Linked DNA regions of Caenorhabditis elegans. The protein of the gene in region 2 purifies or fractionates together with the protein of the main gene of each other region. This does not show direct contact. Each region holds a gene or a part of one and is shown on either strand. Other genes may lie near its edges. The genes, in order: arp-6, dnc-3 and arp-11.

What was found.
Region 1: the proteins of dnc-3 (region 2) and arp-6 purify together in Caenorhabditis elegans (affinity purification with mass spectrometry, with the first as the bait; one study listed by BioGRID). This does not show direct contact.
Region 3: the proteins of dnc-3 (region 2) and arp-11 purify together in Caenorhabditis elegans (affinity purification with mass spectrometry, with the first as the bait; one study listed by BioGRID). This does not show direct contact.

What each region holds. Positions count from the first base shown.
Region 1 is NC_003280.10:8,035,592-8,039,346, reverse strand, and holds arp-6 (Actin-like protein C08B11.6), read left to right. Parts: upstream 1-2,000; coding exon 2,001-2,077; intron 2,078-2,124; coding exon 2,125-2,562; intron 2,563-2,604; coding exon 2,605-2,760; intron 2,761-2,805; coding exon 2,806-2,967; intron 2,968-3,012; coding exon 3,013-3,436; 3' UTR 3,437-3,470; downstream 3,471-3,755. Other genes in the region: Ubiquitin carboxyl-terminal hydrolase ubh-4, read left to right, coding at 1-49, 93-743, 787-967; C08B11.9 (uncharacterized protein), read left to right, coding at 1,203-1,251, 1,294-1,805; sap-49 (Splicing factor 3B subunit 4), read left to right, coding at 3,580-3,755.
Region 2 is NC_003280.10:3,551,643-3,555,135, reverse strand, and holds dnc-3 (DyNactin Complex component), read right to left. Parts: upstream 1,357-3,493; 5' UTR 1,301-1,356; coding exon 1,229-1,300; intron 1,179-1,228; coding exon 1,056-1,178; intron 1,011-1,055; coding exon 900-1,010; intron 848-899; coding exon 747-847; intron 698-746; coding exon 589-697; 3' UTR 519-588; downstream 1-518. Other genes in the region: W10G11.19 (DUF4105 domain-containing protein), read right to left, coding at 1,741-1,956, 2,000-2,366, 2,948-3,163, 3,226-3,366, 3,413-3,493.
Region 3 is NC_003282.8:7,900,360-7,904,114, reverse strand, and holds the start of arp-11 (Actin-related protein 10), read left to right. Parts: upstream 1-1,843; coding exon 1,844-2,031; intron 2,032-2,074; coding exon 2,075-2,285; intron 2,286-2,445; coding exon 2,446-2,610; intron 2,611-2,659; coding exon 2,660-2,838; intron 2,839-3,422; coding exon 3,423-3,755. Other genes in the region: cbpl-1 (Cortactin-binding protein-2 N-terminal domain-containing protein), read right to left, coding at 1-94, 285-338.

The DNA.
Region 1 (3,755 bases), 4.5 Mb from region 2:
TTCAAGTCGAGGAGCTGTATTCGCTCGATGATGATAAAGCGATGACACGGTATTTTTTTCTGAAATTGAAAATAAAACAATTAATTTTTTAGACCAACTTACGGACTCATTTTTTTGTTCAAGTGGCGCCAGGGAGATGAAACAACTGGGATTCCTAGTGACAAGCAAAACATCTTTTTTGCTCATCAAACAATTCAAAACGCTTGTGCTACTCAAGCTCTCATCAACTTGCTTATGAACGTGGAAGATACCGATGTGAAGCTTGGAAATATCCTGAATCAGTACAAAGAATTCGCGATTGACTTGGATCCGAATACTCGCGGTCATTGTCTTTCGAACAGCGAGGAAATTCGCACTGTTCACAATAGTTTTTCTCGTCAGACTCTTTTCGAACTTGATATCAAAGGCGGAGAATCGGAGGATAACTATCACTTTGTGACATACGTGCCAATCGGTAATAAGGTCTACGAGCTGGATGGGCTTCGTGAGCTCCCACTTGAGGTTGCTGAGTTCCAAAAAGAACAAGACTGGATTGAGGCAATTAAGCCCGTAATTCAACAAAGAATGCAAAAATACAGCGAAGGGGAGATCACGTTCAATTTGATGGCACTTGTTCCAAACCGCAAACAGAAACTGCAGGAGATGATGGAGAACTTGATTCAAGCAAATGAAAATAATGAGCTTGAAGAGCAGATAGCCGATCTCAATAAAGCCATTGCTGATGAGGATTACAAAATGGAAATGTAAGAAATGCTCTAATTTAAATATTTTATGTGTGAAATTCAGGTACCGCAAGGAAAACAATCGCCGACGTCACAATTATACTCCGTTCGTAATTGAATTGATGAAGATTCTTGCAAAGGAAGGAAAATTGGTTGGACTTGTCGACAACGCTTATCAAGCCGCTAAAGAAAAATCCAAGCTGAATACAGACATAACCAAGCTTGAATTGAAGAGAAAACAATAGATATTGCATTCTAAACGTACTTGAATTATTTATTTGTATTCTCATAATTTAAATGGGTTCTTGATTGTTTTTGTTTTAATATCAGACATTAAATTTATTAGTTCAATAATTTGTTTTTATATTTGCATCATTTCTGGTCTCAATCCGTCCAGCCTATTTTCGATTGCATGTGTTTTTAAAGGCCTGTCACAGCTTAATACAAGATTAGTTACAGATGGAGATAAATGAAGTAGAAATGGCGAGTGATATGCCTCTTGTCCAGCTTCCACAAAGAGGAGAAAGAAGTACGAACAAATTTTGATATCAATAGTAATTAAATTTTTCAGTAAACGTTCCTCTCGTGCAGTCCCGAAGTGAAGATCAGCGCCTTGTAACCAGTGCTCGTCAAACTGACAAAATTGATGCCGATGATTTGGTCGCGCTGGCAAATCAGTTAAACAGTGCCCGCCAATTGGTGAAAGGAAGAGCTTGCGATCGTCTGAAGCAAATTGCCGATCAAATGGAACAATTACATATGGCAGCTCGTGCAGTTCTCGAAGATGCTCAACGCGATGAGCATTTGCATAACGTTCCCTGTAACATGGAGAAGCAACCTGGCCGAATTTACCATTTGTACCAGAAGCAAGGAAGCATGAACAAATATTTCTCTATGTTGGCTCCTAACGAGTGGGGATACCAAGAGAAGAAAGAAGAATATCTTGGATCATATCGGTTGGAATATGACAGAAGCTGGACTCCTGTAGGAGAAATGGATCGTAAAGACGAAGAAGTCGCTCGTCTTCAGCAACTTCTTCAACGGGAAGGACCGGTCGCCTTACGTGGGAATCCTAATTTTTAAGAAGCATATGTAACATTCGTAAAAACGCATAGATTTTCAATTCAATTCCAATAACCGGGTTGTTTCTTGTGTGCCTGATACTTTCATGAATATTGTGATAATTCGAAATTATTTGTTATCTTATAGGTTACCACCCTACTCTTAATTTTTTATCTGGAAAAATCACACTACTCATTCTGTGAAATAATTTTGTAGATGAGTTTAACAACAATTATTTTTGACAATGGTGGCCATAATATGAAGATAGGTACGATAGACTCAGAGTCCCCTAGGTTTGTTTCTAATAAGAAAAATATCAATATAATTTAAATATTTTCAGATTAGTTCCAAACAGTATTGTGAAAGCGAAACATGAAAAGAAGCGGGTTTTTGTTGCACACGAGCAAGAAGAATGTTCGGACAAGTTTTCGCTATTCTATGTGCGACCAATTGAAAGAGGATATGTGGTGAATTGGGATACACAACAGCAAATCTGGGAGAAAACGTTCGGATCTATGGATGTGGAGGCGTCTACTTCTCGAATTGCACTCACAGATAATAACTATCTAATCCCAGCTCTTCCTGATGTCTCTAGTGAAATATTGTTTGATTATTTCGGCTTCACAGAGGTACACAAAACGTCTGCTTCGACTTTGGTGGCAAAACATTCAAATAAAATCAACAACGAAAAGTGTGCAGTTGTTGTGGATTCCGGGTTTTCATGGACTACGGTAGCTTCATTTGTGAATGGAATGCTTATTCAGGATAGTGTTATAAGGTTGGAAAGTGTTTTCAAACTACAATTAGCTTTATTTTTAAGGATCGATGTTGGTGGAAAAGCGTTAACAAATAAATTGAAGGACTGGGTATCTTACCGACAATTGAATGTTAGCGAAGAAACATACGTTATCAACGAATGTAAAGAGGATCTTTGCTTCGTCTCACAAAATTTTGATGAGAGCATGAAAGAGGCTAGGTAGGTATAAAAATGAAGAATACTAATTATATTGTTTTTATTCAGGAATCGATTTCAAGAAAATACAACAATGAAACGATATATTATGCCGGATTTCCACTCGACATTCCGAGGTGTAGTGAAAGACGTTAAAGAGCCACACGATCCACAAATTCCTTCAATTCATTTGGGAGTTGAGAGATTCGCCATTCCGGAAATCTTATTCAAGTTAGTAATTTCGGCAAAAAGTATAAACTATTTTATCTGTTGCAGTCCCTCGGATATTGATATTGATCAATGTGGTGTCGCAGAAGCTGTTATCGAGAGTATTTGTCAATGTCCAGAAGCATTACGGCCTGCTCTGGCAGAAAATATCATCGTGATTGGCGGATCGTCGTGCTTCCCAGGATTTCGTGAACGCCTGGAACGAGAAGTTCGATCAATGCTGCCAGCAGAATATGGATTGAATGTTTCAAATGACGTAATAAACCCACAAACTCATTCCTGGCATTGTGGTCAAGAGCTTCTCACTGCTTCTAAAGTTCCATGGATCAACCGAAAAGATTGGGACGAACGAGGAGACTCGTTGGAGTTCTCTAACTTTTTCCAGACTCTTGTGCAATCCGATGAACTGAAGGGAACTCGTAATTTCGATGATCAGAGGGAGAAATCCCCAAAGGAAGATGAAGATTTCTGAACTGATCTCTTATCACTTTAAAATAAACATGTTTTATATATATATATGCCAAAATATTTTTTTTTGAGATCAGAGGTTTATTTTCCTTTGTTGGACTTATTTTTTTTCATGTGCTGTTCATTTTTTAAAAATCAATATTTCAGATGTCAGCAGGGCCGATAGTGGAAAGAAACCAAGATGCAACAATTTACGTTGGTGGATTAGACGAGAAGGTGTCAGAGTCCATCCTATGGGAACTTATGGTACAAGCAGGACCTGTTGTCAGTGTCAATATGCCGAAAGATCGAGTAACTGCCAATCATCAAGGTTTCGGATTTGT
Region 2 (3,493 bases):
GAACGTGCTGATTCCCGAATTTTTTGTAGATCAAACTGTAATGGGACAGCCTGGCACTATATGAAATTTATTGGGATGCAAGTACGCTCCACTGATAATTGATTTCAAAAAAATTTTAAAAATACTGATGCAAGCGCGCTCTACTGGTAATTAGCTGTAATTTTGGATTACAACTGCGCTACATAGAGATTTTGGGAAAATTTTGAAAATTACCTTGCTGCAAGCGCGCTCCATCGAGAATTACTAAAAATTTTGGAAAAAAGTGAGGTGTAAGTGCGCTCCACTGAGAAATATTCAAATTTTCGTAAAATCTAATAATGCAAGCGCGCTCCACGGAGAAAAGTTCAAATTTTTTGAAAAATCTAGTAATTCAAATGGAGAGAAAACTATTTTTCTTGCGAGGAAAAAAATTGGAAAAAAACAAATTTTCCAATTTCCCGAAACAACGTCATCATCTTGCCCACTTCGAAAAGTCGATAATTGCTGCCAATTCGTCTTTCTGTCTAACAAAAAACTTGTAGAATTTCAATTTTTACAGGAAAACAAAGAAAATAAAAATAAATTACAATCCAGCGAAAAAATATTTAATTATTTAGCTTTTGCGTTGATTTTCGTCTGCAGATCCAGCACTTTTTCGGTGATTTTTTGGTTGATCATTGACCGCTCGGCGACAAGTGTCTGGAATTCTCCGTAGGTTCTGAAATTTTGGAAATTTCAGATTTTTAGGCTTTAAAAACTGCAATTACTTGGTCCAGTCCTCCAGGGCCTTCTCGTATTTTTCGATTTCAGCGTCAAGCTCCGGTTGAAGTGCAGCCACTTTTGAGAAGAGCTCCTGGTCGAGGCAGGGCTGAAATTTTTTATTTTTCTTCAATTTTCTCTGAAAAATCGCAAAAAAAGACCTCAAGAGCATCTGAAAATTGTTTAATCCGTTCCGCTCGTTCATTGATCAGCTTTTCCGCGTATTTTACAGACTCTATTTTGTCAGTCAGCGATCCATATGGGCCGGATGTCTGAAAAATCGATTTTTCACAGAAAATTCAGTTTTTCCAACGTACTTCCGTGGCGATTTTGCTCAAATGCTCCAGCTTTTGAATGGGAATCGACATTAGCAGATTCGCCTTACAATCATCTCGTAATTTGGATTGAAGAGCCTCGATTTGAGAGGGAATTGATGTTTTCTGGAAAAAAAATTGGCATTTTTATTGGAAATTGCGCGAAAAAAGCTTACCGTGGTGAGATCATCGATTCCTAGAACTTCTTCAATTTCAGAAATCTTTTTTTCAAGCTCGATCATGTCCATTTTCAGATTTAAAATCAAAAGATCGAAAAAGAAAAATAATAATTGAGAAATTGTGTGCAATGGGACGTGACGGTGTCAATGCGTACTTTGCATTTTATTTGACGCGCAAGTGATTTTCAGTGTGGAAACTAGGATATCGCCTGCAATTCTACATTAAAATTGTCTGTTTTTTATTAAATCTTAGTATGAAAGCTTAAAACTGAAAATTTTCATCGAAATTTCTTGTTATTTCCTTAAAACAGCTAAAAAAAGGATTCTTTTGTCCGCAATCTACCGTGGCGGTGTACCTGCGGAACTGGCATTTAAAATGACGAGCAGGGAAAATTAATTAATTCTTAAATATAAATTTTTAATGCAATTTTAATCTGTAAAACATCAAATTAAAACAAATTAAATTATTTATTTTTACCAAATTACAACAGAGCAATTTTTTAAAATTCCTATAGCTCGTCCCTAGTCCACTCCACGGCCGTGAACCCTTTCTCTAGCTCTTCCACGTCATCATACCGCTCCAACAGATTCAAACGAGCAATTGGGAACTTGAAGTTTTCAATGAGCTCCTGGCAGTGAACTGGCTCCAAATTCCGAACCCATGAAAGAATTCCAGTGAAATTGTCGTTTTCAGCGGGTTTTGTGTGGATGCACCATCCTTTTTCCTGGAAAAAATGAATTTAATTTGAAGTTAAAAAGTGAAAGTACCTGTCGCCGAATGACAATATAGCTCGGGGAATTCACATTAAAAACGCTCATCACATACAGTCCAAACAGGTCGAAACCGGTTACAGCCGAAAAATGAGCAATTCGATCGCCGCTTTGCTGCTCGGCAGCAGATTTTTTGAATCCTTCAGAATTTTTAGAGTCCAGTGGGTCGAAAAATACGACCAGAGGCTTCTGGGTTCCGGTGGCGAAGAGGAAATCGGAGGGACTTGACAATTGATGACAGCCCGGGTGTACACCGTCCTCCAAGTAGTCGACCATTCGATTCCAGTTGAGATCCTTATGAAGTGTGAAGGCTTTTACGAAGGGGTCATAGGGCTTCATCGTGATGAAGGCAGGGTAGATGGACCTGAAAGATCGGGAAATTTGAAATTTGGAAAATTCGAAAATTTCCAGGAAAAAAAAACCAATTTTTCTCGTTAAAATTCAATTTCTTCTGAAAAAAAATACATTTTTAGCCAAAATCCCAGTTTTGGGTCTTGGCACGAACGAATTTGGCTATCGTGTGGGGGTACTGTAGTTGGAAAGTTACGTTCGCGGCAGGACCCAAAAAGTTGCGATTACGACTAAAAACTCGGACTGGCATAATATTTTTTCGATCAAATCCATGCTTTGGGTCTTGGCACGAACAAAACTTCTCAGCTACCACGTGGTGTCAGAGTGTCTCCTTTTTGATCTACGTAGATCTACAAAAAATGCGGGAGAAGAGACGCAGAGTTCTCAATTGATTTCCCATGGTTAAGAACGTGCTGACGTCACTCTTTGCTAGGGGAAAAATTCCTGGATTTTTGTAGATCAAACCGCAATGAGACAGCCTGGCACCACGTGAGCTACCATGTGGGGTACTGTAGTTGGAAATTTTCGTTCGCGGTAGGACCCGGAAAGTTACGGAAAATCAAATTTTGAACAACATTCTCCACCAATTCTTACCATTTCTTGACCTCCTCGGACACCAGCGCTGTCAAATGGAACCGCCCGTGATTTTCCCGCGCAAATTTCGCGTAATTCCTCCAAATCTGCGACTTTTTCGTGTCAATAAACAGAATTGTTACGGTTTCCCGCGCGCGATCAAATCCTGGGACCATTCCACTACGGTAGCTCGGCACCAGCTCCTCGTTGAGCAGTTTTACCTCGGGTTGCTTGGTTCTGGAAGAGAAATTTCATTTGGTGGCCGAGTTTTATCCCCCACGGCCACGTCAAAATCTTACGTCAAAATCCAGTCATAAACCTGATCCTTCTGGAATTTTCCACGGAATCTTGCCTCGAGATGATCGTCAAAATTATCTAGTTTGAACGAAAAAAGCGTCGGATTCTCATCGACTCCGTGAGCCCAACAACCAGAGTTTTCACTGGAATTTTCAGATTTTTCAGCAAATTTTCCAGAGGAAAGCTTACTTTTTACAGTCCACCACATAACCAATCTGTTTGCTACGCTTCAGAGCATCTAGGAAGTGAGAAATAGCCTCCCAGTGTTCG
Region 3 (3,755 bases), on a different chromosome or scaffold from region 2:
TCAGTTCATCACTTGAGAAATCGTTAACCCCCTGCTCTTCGGGAAGATTGTCATATTCGGGCTGAACCTTTCGAATAGACGGAAGTACCAATTTCTGAACATTGTAGAAGTTTTTGGTTAATTACTGATAAATTATATATTTTCAAAACTTTGGGTGTGGCTCAATCACTCGGAAAATGAGCGTTAATTTGCAATCTTAGAATAATTTGAGACTGTGAATATTAAAAATTAGAGTATACAAACTTTGCTTACAATTTTATGTTCCTTGTGGAATTAAAACTCACTTTTGATGTTGATTGAAAAGTTGGATCAAAACTGTCATCGAGTAAATTTGGCATCGTGAAAGAAACACGGCAAACGCCGTGAAGCAGAAGTCTGGAAAAATTATTTTTGAAACGTTTTCGAAATTTCTGGAGAAAAAAACACGAAGTCGATGCAGAAGAAGAAAAAGCAGACGTTGAACGTGGATAAACTGAAGAACTAGAGACCGAGGGATATAGAGAAAGGGATTCAAGTGTGTAACTTCGTGTGCTTCTATTTCACAGTGATTGCTTGAAGAGGTGGAGACGCAGACGAAATGTTGTCATTCCCTATGCCTTGCGACCGGGCTCTCACATGTCGAGAGCAGGGCTCTACTGGCTCCGCTCCAAGTGATGACACTTGGTTCGTTTTGAACGATATCTATTGCAAGGAACTTTTATGTTAAGAGAGAAGATCCGTTCGAATAACGATATAGCAAAAAGTTCAAATGAACTTTGTAAAGGTGACCTACACAATCAGATGTTATCGAGAAAAATCTAAACATCTTGTTCAGCCATTTTAACTGGGTTGTTTTCACCATGAAAAAACACGGTGGTGATGCTGAGCTTAAGTACACTGTTTGTTGAAGATGACCAGCAACGAAAAAAGCAAACAAGGCGGAGGAGAATGTTTGCCAGAGTCTGGTAGTTTTTCTAGTAAGAATCCATAATTGCAAAAAAGGAAATCATATCCCAAATAGTTGAATATTGAAAGACGCAAATTTTATATCTCCAAAATTTAGGATTCCTAAACGAGTCAAACATTTTTTCTATTTAGCCTTCCAGATATTGAAAATAATAAACAGGAATTTTCCTCAAATCTGGATGAAGATCGATGGTTATTTTGAAAAATTAGTACGCAAAAAGAGATTTCGAGTCAGAGAAATGGATACAACTAATCTAAACCTGCAATCGATGATGTCTCTCTCATTAAAAATCAAAGTTAACCTATTTTAGTTCACTATCAAGCAACAAATCCTTTAATAAAAAGATTACTGTAATTACGCGAAATGATAAAAACTTATAAAAAGTGATAAAATAATTATTTAAACTGGCGGTAAACGAGAAAGCGATAAGAAAATGTCTGGTGACGTCACTCAGAGTCGCAAAAACTTTGCGCGTAATATACTGCGCGCGGTACGCAATAGAAGATACATGGTGTTTGCACACGTATACGGTAAGCGCTCAATTGAGAACGACTTTTTTGTTTTAATGTTTTATCAAGATTTTACTTTAATTAGACGAATCAATCATTATTTATTGTGCCACATTCGTAATTACTCCTTTCTTTTTAAGATTAAATCATCTTAAAATCAATATTGTAGTGTTCAAACTGGCATCAACTGCTCAATCAACGTTGGAGTCGCTGAAGGCGGCTCGACGGAGTTCGTCGGGAGTTTCAAATCAATCAATCTCGCTTTCATCGACAACTTTATCTCAAGCTATCAGTTCAATCGATAATGGAAAAAGTGCAGTTGTGGTTGAGATTGGAAGCAAGTTAACGAAGTTTGAGTTCCACTGTTCTTAAATTTCATAATTTTACTATGTTTAGAATTGGATGTGCCGGAGAAATAACACCTCGACATATTATCCGAACAGAATACGTCGATGATGAAGGAAAATTGATAACTTCTGATGAATTATTAGCTCTAAACAATCGGAAGACTGCTACAAAGTCCACCGAGTACTACGAAGAAATTCTCTATAAATTCTTGAGGATTGTATTTTTAAAGTGAGCCTCTCTGGCCTCGATTAACTTAAAGCTTGGATTTTAGAGTTTTGGCTCCCACTGACCGTCCAGTGATATTTGTGGAAAGCATTTTCATGTCAGAATCCCTCCGCAATACCATCACCAAAATTGTTGTCGAAAAGATTCGTTGCAAATCTCTAATGTTCATGCCATCTCATGTTTGTGCCACATTTCCATTCAATACTCAAAATGCTCTCGTTGTCGATATTGGACATTCAGAATGTATCGCAGTTCCAGTTAGTTCTTATTTTTAATTTTTGAAGAGCATAAGAAAATATTTCTAGAAAAAAATCAACAAAAGAGTAATTTTTTACCATCTACAATTTTAAACAGTTAAATTTTTTTTAGAAATTCAAATTTCTATTTATGATTTATTGCAAATTGTATTTTTTTCAGATTATCGAAGGTGTGACAATGCTGAATGAGTTCGAATCAGCTCGCTCGATTTGTGGCCGACAACTTGAACGAAGAGTTCGGGAGCAAATGGAGAAATATGGTCAAATTGCAGAATTAAATGGAGAGAGACGAGCAATTACAGAAAACGATTGGCAAGATATTGATGTAAATATCTAAAACTTGAAAAAACTCAATAACTGAAGATATGTTTTAGGCGTGTAAACTTATCGAAACGCTTAGTTTATCACTCATTTGTCTGGATAAGGAACGGGCCGAAAATTGGACAAAATGGGAAGCGTCAGAAGAAGGAGAAAAACCGGATATTGAGACACTTTGCAAAGAAAGACTATTTCCGAATAATGGAAAAATATTTGTAGTTCCTCCAGTTGTATTGTAAGTTTTAAAAGTTTTTTCTTACCAGAAGTTTAAAAATTGAATGTGTTGGCAAACGTTATCAAATATCATGGAAAACTGCAATTTTTTGTTTAAAAAATGTTTATTCACAGACAAAAAGCGACATAAATTATGTTCGTACCATTTTTTCGTGAAAACTAAAGCAATGTCGCAATTTAGAGCCTCCCTCCTGACTGTTTTAATATAAATATTTTAGAACAAAAATTGGAAAAATTACTTTTGATCGACGACATCCAAAAAAGCTACGCTTCGCTTGCTTCGCTTTTTGCGTTGCTTCGCTTTTTGACTGAATAAACAAAATCCAACATTTTTTGAAAAGTTTTCCTATTATATTTCGTCATATTAGCAACAGAGAAGTTTCTAAAATTACTTATTTCTCGTAGTTAAAAAGTAAATTTTTTTAAAAACTCCTTCTATGATATCATGAAATCTGCCACCTACAGTAATCCAAACAATTTTTATTATGCTCCCTATATTATTCAAAAAAAAAAACAGAAAAAATTAAATTCTGAACTTCGATTGTAAGAGAAGCCGCGTATTACCTTTAGTACTTATTATTTCAGCGAAACAAGTACTGAAATCTTCTTCAATGAGAATCTCAATCCTACATCATTCGATCTTTCCCTTCCGAAACTTCTTCACAAGCTGGTATCAAAATGCCCGATTGATCTCCGGAAAAAGCTATTCCCAAATATACTTTTAACTGGTGGAGTCTCTACAATTCCTGGTCTCATGAAACGTTTGGAACAAGAAATTCAAGTTATCGACGAGAAAAACAATTCCAAAATTGCCGTAATTGTAAAATTCTATCAATTTTCGGAAATCAAAAACACGCCACTTTTCGTTTCCTGGCTCGGTGCAAGTCTATTGGGATCACTTCGAGAGACAATTGAACG